Linked DNA regions of Arabidopsis thaliana. The protein of the gene in region 1 interacts with the protein of each later gene in a pairwise test. Each region holds a gene or a part of one and is shown in the gene's direction. Other genes may lie near its edges.

Region 1 (4,831 bases):
CCTTATATGCTTTTTTTTCTTTCAATCTCGATGACTATAGTTTGACGCTTCTTAAATTCTAAAAAAAAAAATAGTTTGACGTTTCTAAGACTTTTCTTAACAAATATCCACTTACTGGGATGATTGGCTGAGACTAAAGGAAAACCATAAAGGCCGCCAATTCATTCGACCGGAAGTCTGTAGAACATACAATTTTGGTGAACATGTTAGTACCCGATTATGCTATCCTATATATCATAGTTTTACAAGTCTGTTTTTGTAATGCTGTTAAATTGACCTATGTTCGCTGCATATGACTTCTGCTTTCTGTATGAAAAATGTATTATTGCAGCTTCGTCCTATAGTTTCCCGACACATGGATGTAGACAGTCAATACCACATAATATATTTTTGCATTTCATACTTATCCATAACCTTGTTATATTAATTTGGCAGGGGTCTAGTTTGGGACAGTTTTTCAGTCAGTATCTGGAACCTATAAAGCTAAACGATGTGACGGTAAGCGTAAGTGTGTTTTTTACCCCCTTTTGTTGCATCACTAGTTTTCACTGGTTTCCTATTTCATTCATAAAGGTTGACTGGAAAGCAAAGGACCTGGGATACCTGACAGAGGTAACATTTACAGAACTCCGGCCTTTTTTTTTTATACCATTTTGCATGTTTTGAGTGGAGAAATGTAGTTTTTAACCTGTTCTCTCATGTCTATCAAAGGGAAACTATACCAAGTACTTTTCTGGCTTAGTGAGACAAGCACGACCAATTCAAGGTTCTGACCTTGTCTTAAAGGCTCAAAACATAAAGGATGATGTTCGTATCCGGTATAAAGACCAAGTAGAGTTTGAACGCATTGCAGGGGAATTTGGTATATTTGAAGAATGGAAGGTAAATTTGAGATGATTGAACTATAATCTTCAATAATTGTAGGTCCAAATGGGTCACTTTTTTTGTACCCCTTTGATTGTGTAGGATGGTGTGCCTCGAACAGCATATAAAGGAGTAGTGGTGTTTCGAATCCAGACAACAAGACGTGTATTCCTGGTTGGGCCAGATTCTGTAATGCAGCTTGGAATTCGAAATTCCTGATGCAAAACATGTACTTCTCCAACCAGCATCATTTACATCTTAACCATTGCTTACAGTTCTGTGCTAACCGGGTTTCACAAGCAGATGAAAGGAAAAGAAGATTTTGGACCGCATGCAGCCTCCTTCTAGCAGCTGTTAGGTTGTATTGTTATTTATGGATGAGTTTGTCGAGCGGTGGGGTTAACTTTAACAGCAAGGAAGCTCTGGTGACCTGGCTGATTGGCTTAGAAGTTATGGGAACCCCTTGAAAGGGTCAGGGTTAAATATATTTCAGTTGTTTTATTAGTGATTATCTTGTGGGTAACTTATACGAATGCAAATCATTCTATGCAGTTTTTCTTCGTCCCACTTGTTTTGGCTTCTCTATTGCTAGTGTACATATCTCTTCAAACATGTACTAAATAATGCGTGTTGCTTCAAAGAAGTAACTTTTATTACATCTTTGGCGAGTAGCCAATCAAGGCACTCGACCCATCTTCTCTGGTATAACCCGTCAACTAGAATCTGAGGCCATGGGATCATTAAAGGTTTGTTCCGATGCGACCAATTGGAGGTCTTGATTTGTCTCATGTGAAGTAGGCCTAAGAAAAGAGCCTTGTGGAGTTCCCCTGCATTTTTAGAATATTCTAATTAAAGAGACAGATCTGTTGATGACTATTAATCAAAGATATCTTCTTCTTTTGTTATTTTTAGTCAGGATGTGGAGACGTTGGCGAGAATATTGCAAAACCATGTTCAACAATGTGTATCATCGGATCTGCACCAATCTGACTTAATTTTCATCCATTCTTATCATCTTTGTCTGGTACACATCCATCTCTTCCTCTAATTCCCCTGTTTTGATGTCTCTCCTTATTATTGCGATTTCTTTATGCTAAATTCGTATAATGTTTCAGATCTTGCTATGGGACTTGCTCTGTTTTCCTCTGATGGCAAACTAATTTGGAAGGGGAGGTGAACTAACTTGGTAAGGGATTTGTTTGATGGGCAATTCTTTACAAGCCAAACCACTTCTAATACATTTTGTCTTTCAACGATTTGTTTCAGCACACAAACTGGCAAAAGACGCCCCCAGGAAGAAGCCACAATGAAGCACAGCGGTGGGAACCAAGCCTGCTATGTTCTTGGTCAAAAGACCCCAAGCATCCGAGATCTCTACTCGTTGGGACACAAACTAGGTCAAGGACAGTTTGGGACGACTTACATGTGCAAAGAGATCTCAACAGGGCGTGAATACGCATGCAAGTCTATAACAAAACGAAAGTTGATATCAAAGGAAGATGTGGAAGACGTACGCAGGGAAATTCAAATCATGCACCATCTGGCTGGCTACAAGAACATTGTCACCATTAAAGGTGCTTACGAGGATCCATTGTATGTTCACATCGTGATGGAGCTTTGCTCAGGTGGGGAATTGTTTGACAGAATTATCCAGAGAGGACATTACAGCGAGAGAAAAGCAGCTGAGCTGATAAAGATCATCGTTGGTGTTGTTGAGGCTTGCCATTCGCTTGGTGTCATGCATAGAGATCTAAAGCCCGAAAATTTCTTGTTGGTTAACAAGGACGACGACTTCTCTCTCAAAGCCATTGATTTTGGGCTTTCCGTGTTCTTCAAACCAGGTGATAACATCAGCTGCATCATTTGCAACATCTTCAGTCAGAATTTCACACTTGCTACATCATCTGCAACTTTCAGGTCAAATATTCGAGGATGTGGTTGGAAGTCCGTATTATGTTGCTCCTGAGGTTCTGCTCAAGCACTACGGACCCGAGGCTGATGTGTGGACCGCAGGGGTCATACTGTACATATTGGTGAGCGGAGTCCCTCCGTTCTGGGCAGGTATGCACCCAAATGAAACAACTGTGATTAGGCTTCCAAGGTAAAAGATTCTTAAATATTTGTTTTGCTTCAACTCCAGAAACACAGCAAGGGATATTTGATGCAGTGCTGAAGGGACATATTGACTTTGACTCCGACCCTTGGCCCCTAATATCCGACTCTGCAAAAAACTTGATCCGTGGCATGCTATGTTCCCGGCCCTCTGAGCGACTGACAGCTCATCAAGTATTGCGTAAGTCTAACCAGTTGCTCCTATTTCAGGTCCTGAATTAGTGTATCTGCTAGCTTATTTAGAATTTTGCAGGCCATCCTTGGATCTGTGAAAATGGAGTTGCGCCAGACAGAGCACTAGATCCTGCTGTGCTTTCTCGTCTTAAACAGTTCTCTGCGATGAATAAACTAAAGCAGATGGCTTTACGGGTAAGCCCCCGGCCGCAAGCCTTTTGGCCTTTATTGTGAACAATTTTCCATAAATGTCTTCTGCTGTGATTCAGGTAATAGCTGAGAGTCTCTCGGAGGAAGAAATTGCTGGACTGAAGGAAATGTTCAAAGCAATGGACACGGATAACAGTGGAGCGATTACGTTTGACGAGCTGAAAGCCGGGTTGCGAAGATATGGTTCAACCCTCAAGGATACTGAGATTCGTGACCTTATGGAGGCTGTAAGCACTTTGCTCTGATCTGATCTGTGTGAGTACCTGCTTGAAATCAGTATGTTTAGTATTAATCTGTGACTGTGATTTACCAGGCAGATATTGACAAGAGTGGGACCATAGATTATGGTGAATTCATTGCTGCAACAATCCATCTGAACAAATTAGAGCGTGAAGAACATCTTCTGTCAGCCTTCAGGTACTTTGACAAAGATGGGAGCGGTTACATCACTATCGATGAGCTACAGCACGCATGTGCTGAACAGGGAATGAGTGATGTCTTTCTAGAAGATGTGATCAAGGAAGTCGACCAAGACAATGTGAGTGACTTATGCATACATATCCTCTGGCTTGGAGAGTACATGGTCAAAGGCCAGGGATCATTTTTTTCTTCTTGTTTCAGGATGGAAGGATTGACTACGGGGAGTTTGTAGCTATGATGCAGAAAGGCATTGTTGGAAGAACAATGAGGAAAAGCATAAACATGAGCATCAGGAACAATGCCGTCTCGCAGTGAGAAGCAAGCAATCTCACGATTATGTACAGGTTAAGCCTTTCTCACTTTTTCAAGGTAAATTCCATCAAATTCTTTCCCAAACTGACAAGTCTATACATCGGTGTACGTGAAACAGTCGTTTTTGATAGAGCTGAACGAAGATATGCAAAAGCTACAAAGCTCTGCAGAAATATGGTTCCCATGGTCTGGATCCTTCCCGGTAAAGATTGAATCAACAAAGGCTCTGCATTCTAAAACGAACTGATATGTATTATTAACAGATAAACTGAATCAAACATCAGTATAGGAAGTCATATGAGATTATTGTAATTTGACTTATGTGCACACATCCTACAAAGAAAATTATAAGAATGATCTGTGGAGATTTAAACGATTATTGATCATACATCTGATAGAGCAGTCTCTCTCCCCATTGTTACCTCCTGCGCAAAGTAAAAGAGATAGAATAATGACCACAAGTTGCAAGGAGAAGAGTATGTAGTTGTCAACAAAGAAGATTATTGGTTACCTTTAGCTTAGAATCGCTAGAGAAGACGCAGCTGGATGTGATAGCATGGCCTGGCTCAAAGACCCATCCTACTGAAAATACTCTTTCGCGGTCTTTGCCTTGTTGGAGTGAGCACCACAGCTCTTGCGGAAGCAATAAAAGATCATTTTCTTCTCTCACAATCTCAATCACCTTCTCGCCAGTAACTTGTTGTATACAACCCTGAACATACTCACAAAATAAACAAAC
Region 2 (3,419 bases), 5.0 Mb from region 1:
CAAATTAATAGATATTTATAAGATACAAATTTAAATATTTTTCATATAGTTTTTGTACCTCAACGTTGATCTTAAGGTTTGCCATAGTGGCTTCAGTTCTTGCGTTAACAAACCTCCATTGAAGTAATCTGTTTTGAAAAATCCTAAACCGGTGATAATCCTCCTCTTGTACCGGAGATACTTTCTTCTGCGCCATGAAGTACTTCAAAACTCCTGCCACCGCTCCACCGCCACCGCTTCTTATCTTGGCCTTGCTTACGGGTGACTCAGGCGGCGTCATGCACATTGAAGTCGTCGGAGCTGAGCTGGACAGAGGCGTCTTCATAGTCGAAAGTCTTCCAGGAGACAACGCCCACGCCGATGGTGAGCTGGCTCCCGGCTTTACCCCTCTCGATGAAGCGTTACTACGAGGACTACCACGCGTACGTTGCTCCAAGTACCGAGCAAACGACTCTCTGCTTCTACCGTTGTTTATCTCTTGAGATCTTGATGCGCTGTTTCTCGCCGGGATTATGTTCTCGCCGGATTTAGAGTCGGATGATCCGATGGGTCTGGAGGATCTTGTTGTGGACTGTGATCTGGTTATCATCACTCGTTTGCTTGAATTGGAAGGCGAAGAGGAAGAAGATGAAGAAGTAGAAGACGATAACGAGGCGTTTAAGGACACTGGGAGAGAGATTGAAGAGCTTATAGTCCGGCTCCGGTTATTATTGGGCGATGGAGGACGGAGTCTCCGACCGGTGGTTGCCATTTTCTTCTTTAATATATGACGACGGTTAACTATATGACTATATCATACAAGACTTATATTCGGTTTCGTTTCTCGACTCACTTGCCCCTGTCCTTAAGACTCTTATAGTAAAGCTGGAATTATATGGTTCAAGGAATCGTCTAGTCTATATACACTGGTTTGAACAATTGTGATATATAATATAGTTAGGGGTATATTATATTTAATCTGTTAGATAACGGTTGGGGTACTTGAAGATCTGTAGGAGTTGACAGCACGTAGAGGCAGAGGTAAGAACACTTCTGCATGTAGTGTGTCTACATAATAAAATATAGAGTGTATTTTTTACACACACCAAAAAGAGAGATTATAATTAATGTATTATGTCAAAGCATATATGAAGGTCAGCTTAGCTAGAGACACGTCTTTTGTTTATCTCTCGACTAAACAACATGGCGTTTTAATAAAATCAAAACTTAAAAGGTCCAATTCAGAACGGCCCCATAGTATATAGTCTACGTTGAATAAATAAACCTCAAGATAGCGTCAAACTCTTTAGTCTTTACCCAAAAATATTTTTTTTTAAATAACGTCAAAACTCTAAGTCTTGACCTCAACACCAATATATATTTGCCTTCTCCAATATCTGATTTTTTTAATTGTTTATCCGAGTCTTCTTGGTCTTTTCGAATGTTTGCCCGAACCAGACCTTCCCACGTTCGGTGGTTGGTGGCCGCCTCGGCCTTTGGTTGATTTCTGTCCACATTTTGGTCCTTTTCATTCATGTACCATGTTCTAGGGTCATTTGACTTGTTGACCATAAATCTACTAAAACAGGCCTAATACCGATGGGCCGTAGCCCGTTAATAAACAAGACAATTTATATTTGTTTCACTTAGCTTGGGAGCCACGGATCTCTAGAAACATCCAGAGAAATATCAATCTCCCCACTTCTCCAGAACATTCACTCACTGACAATATCCCACCTTCAACACTTAACTCCTGTATATAGTCCTCCCCTGTCTCCAGTTTCGTCGCACACAGTTCTCAGATAAATACTAAACTCACTGTTAAAACTTTCTCAACAAAGCTTCCTGTTTCTCTACAAATGGCATCTGCTCTCGCTCTTAAGAGACTCCTATCATCCTCCATCGCTCCACGTTCCCGTAGTGTTCTTCGTCCAGCTGTTTCCTCTCGCCTCTTCAACACCAACGCCGTTAGGAGCTACGACGACGACGGCGAAAATGGAGACGGCGTTGATTTATATCGCCGCTCTGTTCCTCGCCGCCGTGGTGATTTCTTCTCAGGTAACAAACCAATTGTTTCGCTTTTCCTCCAGATCTATGTCTCTCTGTTGTTAACGTAGCGAAAATCTAGTAAGAAAACAGGTATTAGCTTACACTGAGCTCAAAATCTTGACATGATTGATTGTGTCTTTGTGTAGATGTGTTTGATCCGTTTTCGCCGACGAGGAGCGTTAGTCAAGTGCTGAATCTGATGGACCAGTTCATGGAGAATCCTCTGTTATCAGCTACTCGTGGCATGGGAGCTTCAGGAGCTCGTCGTGGTTGGGATATAAAAGAGAAAGACGATGCTCTGTACCTGAGAATCGACATGCCTGGGCTGAGCAGAGAGGATGTGAAGCTGGCTTTGGAGCAGGACACTCTGGTGATTAGAGGAGAAGGAAAAAACGAGGAAGATGGTGGCGAGGAAGGAGAGAGCGGTAATCGGAGATTCACAAGCAGGATTGGATTACCGGATAAGATTTACAAGATCGATGAGATTAAGGCGGAGATGAAGAACGGAGTGTTGAAAGTTGTGATCCCGAAGATGAAAGAACAAGAGAGAAATGATGTTCGTCAGATCGAGATCAACTAAAAACGTCGACGTTTTTTTCTGTTCTAGTTTTGTTGATAGGTCTTTGAATAAGAAGTGTGTGTAGTTTGGCACGGTCGATGTTGAGTCATGTAGTCTCTAAAGACTAAAAGGTTATATGTTTCTTTCTTGAGACGGTGGTTTTTTGTCTTGCTTAAACCAAAATTTGCATTCCAAATCAAAGCACTAATTAAATAAGTTCCTAATCGTGTATTCTTTTAGCTAACTCGGTCGGTTTACATGCCTTTGTGGTTATGAGACTGGAGCTTATGGAACGTATTTGGGTTTAAAATTTTCTGTAGACTAGGAACTAGGAAGACTTTAAGACGAATTCTGAGGCTGCGTAAGTTGTCGACGGACTGGTCTATTAATAACGCGTAAAAGTGTTAGGCCCGTTCGAGTAGAATAGCGCGTTGGACAGCCCAACTTGAATGAATCGATCGACTTTTATTAAAAAAACAAAAGTAGGGCAAAAAACAAAAAACAGAACCTCGACATTAACCTAAACCTAAGAGCAAAGCAAATCGACGGCGACGGGAAAATAGAACCGCAGATCTCTGTCTCCTCTCTCTCTCGTAACTGTTTGTTCGATGGCACCGAAGAAGGCGGAGGAAGTGGTCGAAAGCCCTCCTGTTTCCAGTGAAGAAGAAGAATCTGGCTCATCTGGAGAAGAATCTGAATCTTCTGCTGAAGTTCCGAAGAAAGTCGAGTCTTCGCAAAAGCCTGAATCTGACTCTGAAGGCGAATCTGAATCGGAGTCCAGTTCTGGGCCCGAGCCCGAGTCCGAGCCTGCTAAGACGATCAAGCTGAAGCC
Region 3 (5,430 bases), about 17 Mb from region 1:
ATATTTTAAAATTTTTTAAAACAATTTTAAAGCCTTTAAAAATCTTTAAAAGACTTTTGTAAATTTTTGAAATCCCTTTAAAATCTATTGTAAATTACCCTTTTAAAATCCCTTGTAAATCTTATAAAACCCCTATAAAATCCCTTGTAAATCTTTTAAAACTCTTTTAAAATCCCTTGTAAATCTATTTCCCGCCAAAAAAAAAAAATTGGCGGGAAAAATATGTTTGAAAACAAATTTTGGCGGGAAATTTATTTTGGAATATTTTTGGCGAAAAAATATTAATTTTTCATTTTGTTAACCTAAAACAATTTCCAAATAAGGGTAAAATGGTCATTAAAAATTTAAAGAGGGTAGAAATAAAATTGGATAAAACAAAAGGGTAAAGTTGAAAAAGGGCATCATGAAAAGGGCATTAGAAAAAAAAATTCTTAAAGGGATAATAATTAATATATTAAACTATTAAGTTGATTAACTGATTTTTTTTGTGTTAATATATTATCAAAACAAAACTTGTTTTTTTTTTTTTTTTTTTTTCATCCAAAACAAAACTTGTTTTATTTATTGATTTTTGTAAATAACTGTTTTTCTTAGCTTTTATTACTTCTTATGTTGGATGTTCGTGTTTGGTCTGAGAATTACCTCCTTAAGCACAAGTTGTTCCTTTATAAATGAGCTCCATTTAGGCATAATGATGTGAACCCTTTAGTTTTTGTTGGTGTAGACTCAAATTAGAGAGAGGAGTCGCTGAGATTGATAAGCTAGCAAACAGAATCTTCCATATCGACAAGCTTGGGAATCAACCTGAATTGTGATAGAAGAGAGAAAACATTTTCTAGGAAACTAAATTGTCTCTTTTGAATTTGAAATACTTTATTTGGAGCTTGTTTGCTTAGCGCATATCTCGAATTTGATTATATCTCGCAAGATAATTATGTGACGTTTTTGAATTATGTAAACATCTCAATAAGTGATATAGGAAAATTTAACTTACAAACAGAAAAATAAGCGATTTTTTCAATACATTCTAATAGTTGAATACATTAATTAGAATTAGGAGGGATACAATAATAGATAACTACAATTCATTCGTCATGTTCTAAAAATAGAGAGCAATAAGTACGACGGACAGTACCGTCACTACTTGGCGTCATGGTAGATAGGTAGTGGATCTGCTAGATATATGAGAACGGAAAGAACCAGAAGCTATTAGAGGCGGGAGGAGATATGTGGGGATGATTTCAGTGCAATTCCACGACGCACCATTTCCACTTTCGTAACACCTAAACGACCGCTTCGGCCGTATAAAATCGCAAATGTTTGGTCTCAGTGTATTTTTCCAATTTCCAAATACATCAATTCAAATTATATAATATCTAGTGGCAATTATAAGTATATCATATATTTTCAAAATTAATTAAAAAGATTACTAAATTATGTTTGACTACAACTATTATAATAGTTAAAAACATAAACAAAAACAAAGAAACTATTTTAATAAAAAAATCAAGTAAACATTAAAACATAAGCAAAAAATAATGTTAAAGAAATTATTAATTATTAATTTACTAATAATTAATACCTCTATAAATTAATTGTTAGAGGTTTAACGTAATTTATAAGGAAAACTAAAGAAGACTTTAACCCATAAAGAAAAAAACAAAGACTGAATTGAAGGCCCATATTTAGAAGAAGAGAAAGAAGACCCAAATATGATATAAAATCCAGCCCATTTATATATTTTTATTTTGTTTCTGGAAGGAAAATAAGAAAATGGCAAAAACGAAATAATCTGAAAAAGTAAGGTCTTTTACCAAAAAGGATATTTTTTTTATAAACAGAGCATAAAGTTTTCACTTTTCTTCTGCTCCTTTCTCGTCTCTGTCTTCTTCGTCCTCATTCGTTTTAAAGCATCAAAATTTCATCAACCCAAAATAGATTAAAAAAATCTGTAGCTTTCGCATGTAAATCTCTCTTTGAAGGTTCCTAACTCGTTAATCGTAACTCACAGTGACTCGTTCGAGTCAAAGTCTCTGTCTTTAGCTCAAACCATGGCTAGTAACAACCCTCACGACAACCTTTCTGACCAAACTCCTTCTGATGATTTCTTCGAGCAAATCCTCGGCCTTCCTAACTTCTCAGCCTCTTCTGCCGCCGGTTTATCTGGAGTTGACGGAGGATTAGGTGGTGGAGCACCGCCTATGATGCTGCAGTTGGGTTCCGGAGAAGAAGGAAGTCACATGGGTGGCTTAGGAGGAAGTGGACCAACTGGGTTTCACAATCAGATGTTTCCTTTGGGGTTAAGTCTTGATCAAGGGAAAGGACCTGGGTTTCTTAGACCTGAAGGAGGACATGGAAGTGGGAAAAGATTCTCAGATGATGTTGTTGATAATCGATGTTCTTCTATGAAACCTGTAAGTTCTGTTCTTGCTTTGGTGTTTGATTATTAGAAATGGGAAGAAATCGAATTTGAGGGTTTTGAAGAGAACATTTTTGGTAACTTTTGTTTTAGTTTTTGATTTGTGGTAAGTAACTTTAACAAAGTTGATGATTTGCGTTATGTGCTTTATTTTGGCTCAGACTTGTTGAATCTAATCGATTTTGGTTTGTTTAGTAAACTAAGGTTAGCTCTTGTTACTCTATGAGCAACTTCTCACTAGTTCATGTAGCTGCGTGGCTTATCTTGCCTTCTAAGTTGGTCAAATGAGTAATCTTAAGGGTCTAACTTAAATTATTCTCTTACAACTAATGGAGTCAAATCCTTGTGCAAATGGTTTATTTTCGTTTGGTCTTATTTCTTCTGTGTGTTGTCTGGAAGGTTTTCCACGGGCAGCCTATGCAACAGCCACCTCCATCGGCCCCACATCAGCCTACTTCAATCCGTCCCAGGGTTCGAGCTAGGCGTGGTCAGGCTACTGATCCACATAGCATCGCTGAGCGGGTATATTTCAGATTCTCTTTTGTATTTCCCTGTGATATACTATGTTGGTGGCGAGTTGGTTGTAGTTGAAAATATGTTTCGGATATAAAAAAATGTTAACATTGTGTAATGATCTCTTGATTTTATGGAGGGATTACCTAAAAGTTTGTTTTACTTTACCACAGCTACGTAGAGAAAGAATAGCAGAACGGATCAGGGCGCTGCAGGAACTTGTACCTACTGTGAACAAGGTCTGTACCTTTCACCCTAACCCTCACCTGTATATAATTTCTCTAGAAAGTTTGACACTTTCTGTTTCTCCCGTCTTCGTGTGCAGACCGATAGAGCTGCTATGATCGATGAGATTGTCGATTATGTAAAGTTTCTCAGGCTCCAAGTCAAGGTATATTCTTCTCTCTTCTGCAGTTTTAAACTCGAACTCTCTTTCTTGTGAATTATCTTATTACTCCCTATGCAATATGTTTAATCTGTTTGTTCATAAGATTAGAGATCTAAAGATCATGTCTTTCAAATTCTCTGGATGGATTTTTGGTGTTAATTCTGGTCCCACCATTACCTACCCTTCAACCAAATTTCAATCTGATTAGATCAGTTATTTAATGTGGGAAAGAATAAACAAGTCCAAAATGCTTTTGTTTTCTTTGGCATTTAGTCTCTTTTCACTTTTTGTTTTGTCATAGGGAGCCTAATCACAGTTTATGATTATAATACCATATTCAACAATAATTACAATCATCATGTTCACATTATAATATAGTAATCTGGTAGATCATCAAATGCTTCTTATATCAAAATGCAGTCGGTTACTTAAAGCTCTCGCAAGCGAAAAAAGGAAGTCTCTTTACTTTATAAGATAATGGAGACACTAAAGAAACAGAATGCAATGATGGATTTCTGATAAGATAATACATCTTTTGTTTTAAAAATAGAAAATGTGTTTCTTGTGAAATCTTCCATGCTCATCTAAAAGTAAAAGCTTTTTTTATATATATAATTTTCATGGGGTGAAGCTTATCACTTTCAATGATATCTGTTTCTCTTTGTCAACTTTGGTAGGTTTTGAGCATGAGCCGACTTGGTGGAGCCGGTGCGGTTGCTCCACTTGTTACTGATATGCCTCTTTCATCATCAGTTGAGGTAAAAACTTTTTAAGAACAAAAAGTAAAAACTTTAGTAATGGGGTTTTGATTCAGATTTTGCTTAAAATGTCAATAGGATGAAACGGGTGAGGGTGGAAGGACTCCGCAACCAGCGTGGGAGAAATGGTCTAACGATGGGACTGAACGTCAAGTGGCTAAACTGATGGAAGAGAACGTTGGAGCCGCGATGCAGCTTCTTCAATCAAAGGCTCTTTGTATGATGCCAATCTCATTGGCAATGGCAATTTACCATTCTCAACCTCCGGATACATCTTCAGTGGTCAAGCCTGAGAACAATCCTCCACAGTAGGATTTCTGCAATAAAGAGTTTGTACAGCTAATCCAACTGTCCAACATGGGTTTTTCTTCTGCTCTAATGACTCTGGTTTCTTCTCTCCTCTCTCACCCACTTGAAAGGTAAAAAAGTGAAAAAGGCTTTGTAGATGGAATCAATGTAGGATTTGCAGTAGAGGGAAAAAAAATGTCAAAAAGCTCAATTGATCAAGTATTATTGTAATCATTGTACCTTTATTTTAGGTGGACTTTGATGAAAGCAACTTTTTGTTTTCAAGACTTTAGTGGGAGGTTGAGGAAGGAGCTTGAAGGGTGTTATTTATTAGTAGTAGTAGTAGTGGGAAGTTGTGGGACCTTGTTGAGTTGTGTTCAAATTGAAGAAAAAACAAGTATTTGTAATTTGTCACCCCTTGTATTATTATTTATTTTGTATGACTTTGGAGTAGTATAATTAATTATCAAATAATATTATTAGTTTGATCTAGTAACCATCCTTTGTTTGATAACACTAGAAACATAAAGCAAATATTTTAGGAGAAAGTACCATGAATTGTGCTTCTTTTTTTTAGTGGTACGTGTACAATTTTAACTTCCAAATCTCAAATGCTAAGATATATACACTTTGGACAGAACATGTATCAATTTAAACTTGCATGTTTACATTTTGCATTGATTAGTGAAGACAAAATACAACTTTTATTAATATTGTTAGTTTTGGAAAAATATAGCCAAAAAAAAAACTCATCGAAGAATTAAAGTTATTGATATGATTATTTCATGTGATTCATTAAATCATTCTGCCAAATTTATTTTTTGAGTAAAGTTTGGAAAATCTTGTGTCTTTTGAAGTAACAGATAAAAGTTTTGTTTTTATTACAATTTCACATGAATCTTAGAGTGAGATAATAATAAACGAAGATGATTTGGCAATTTGTTTAAAATGGGTCTAAATTCCAAAACCAAGAAGACTACAAAGAGTATGCAAACTCAATTTGATGCGGTACAGGCGTCAAACATACATCGCTATAGCCTTTGCGTTATTGAACCACATAAAAC

The links. The genes of interacting proteins can lie anywhere in the genome.
Region 2: the proteins of CPK26 (region 1) and HSP23.6-MITO interact in a two-hybrid assay, tested with the Arabidopsis thaliana proteins (one large-scale study listed by BioGRID).
Region 3: the proteins of CPK26 (region 1) and UNE12 interact in a two-hybrid assay, tested with the Arabidopsis thaliana proteins (one large-scale study listed by BioGRID).

What each region holds. Positions count from the first base shown.
Region 1 is NC_003075.7:17,928,258-17,933,088, reverse strand, and holds CPK26 (calcium-dependent protein kinase 26), read left to right. Parts: upstream 1-1,586; 5' UTR 1,587-1,888; intron 1,889-1,906; exon of another isoform or gene 1,907-1,979; 5' UTR 1,980-1,987; coding exon 1,988-2,037; exon of another isoform or gene 2,038-2,050; intron 2,051-2,130; coding exon 2,131-2,705; intron 2,706-2,781; coding exon 2,782-2,925; intron 2,926-3,004; coding exon 3,005-3,157; intron 3,158-3,229; coding exon 3,230-3,345; intron 3,346-3,419; coding exon 3,420-3,587; intron 3,588-3,673; coding exon 3,674-3,898; intron 3,899-3,981; coding exon 3,982-4,095; 3' UTR 4,096-4,124; intron 4,125-4,187; exon of another isoform or gene 4,188-4,210; 3' UTR 4,211-4,272; downstream 4,273-4,831. Other genes in the region: CGL1 (alpha-1,3-mannosyl-glycoprotein beta-1,2-N-acetylglucosaminyltransferase), read left to right, coding at 112-205, 436-498, 574-612, 712-882, 967-1,083; AT4G38225 (glycerol kinase), read right to left, coding at 4,307-4,318, 4,482-4,517, 4,604-4,804. UniProt on the Arabidopsis thaliana protein: May play a role in signal transduction pathways that involve calcium as a second messenger.
Region 2 is NC_003075.7:12,915,251-12,918,669, forward strand, and holds HSP23.6-MITO (mitochondrion-localized small heat shock protein 23.6), read left to right. Parts: upstream 1-1,675; 5' UTR 1,676-1,838; coding exon 1,839-2,037; intron 2,038-2,174; coding exon 2,175-2,608; 3' UTR 2,609-2,860; downstream 2,861-3,419. Other genes in the region: QWRF7 (QWRF motif protein (DUF566)), read right to left, coding at 59-751; AT4G25210 (DNA-binding storekeeper protein-related transcriptional regulator), read left to right, coding at 3,196-3,419.
Region 3 is NC_003075.7:1,136,928-1,142,357, reverse strand, and holds UNE12 (basic helix-loop-helix (bHLH) DNA-binding superfamily protein), read left to right. Parts: upstream 1-1,817; 5' UTR 1,818-2,051; coding exon 2,052-2,414; intron 2,415-2,818; coding exon 2,819-2,941; intron 2,942-3,105; coding exon 3,106-3,171; intron 3,172-3,257; coding exon 3,258-3,323; intron 3,324-3,997; coding exon 3,998-4,078; intron 4,079-4,156; coding exon 4,157-4,390; 3' UTR 4,391-4,871; downstream 4,872-5,430. UniProt on the Arabidopsis thaliana protein: Required for ovule fertilization.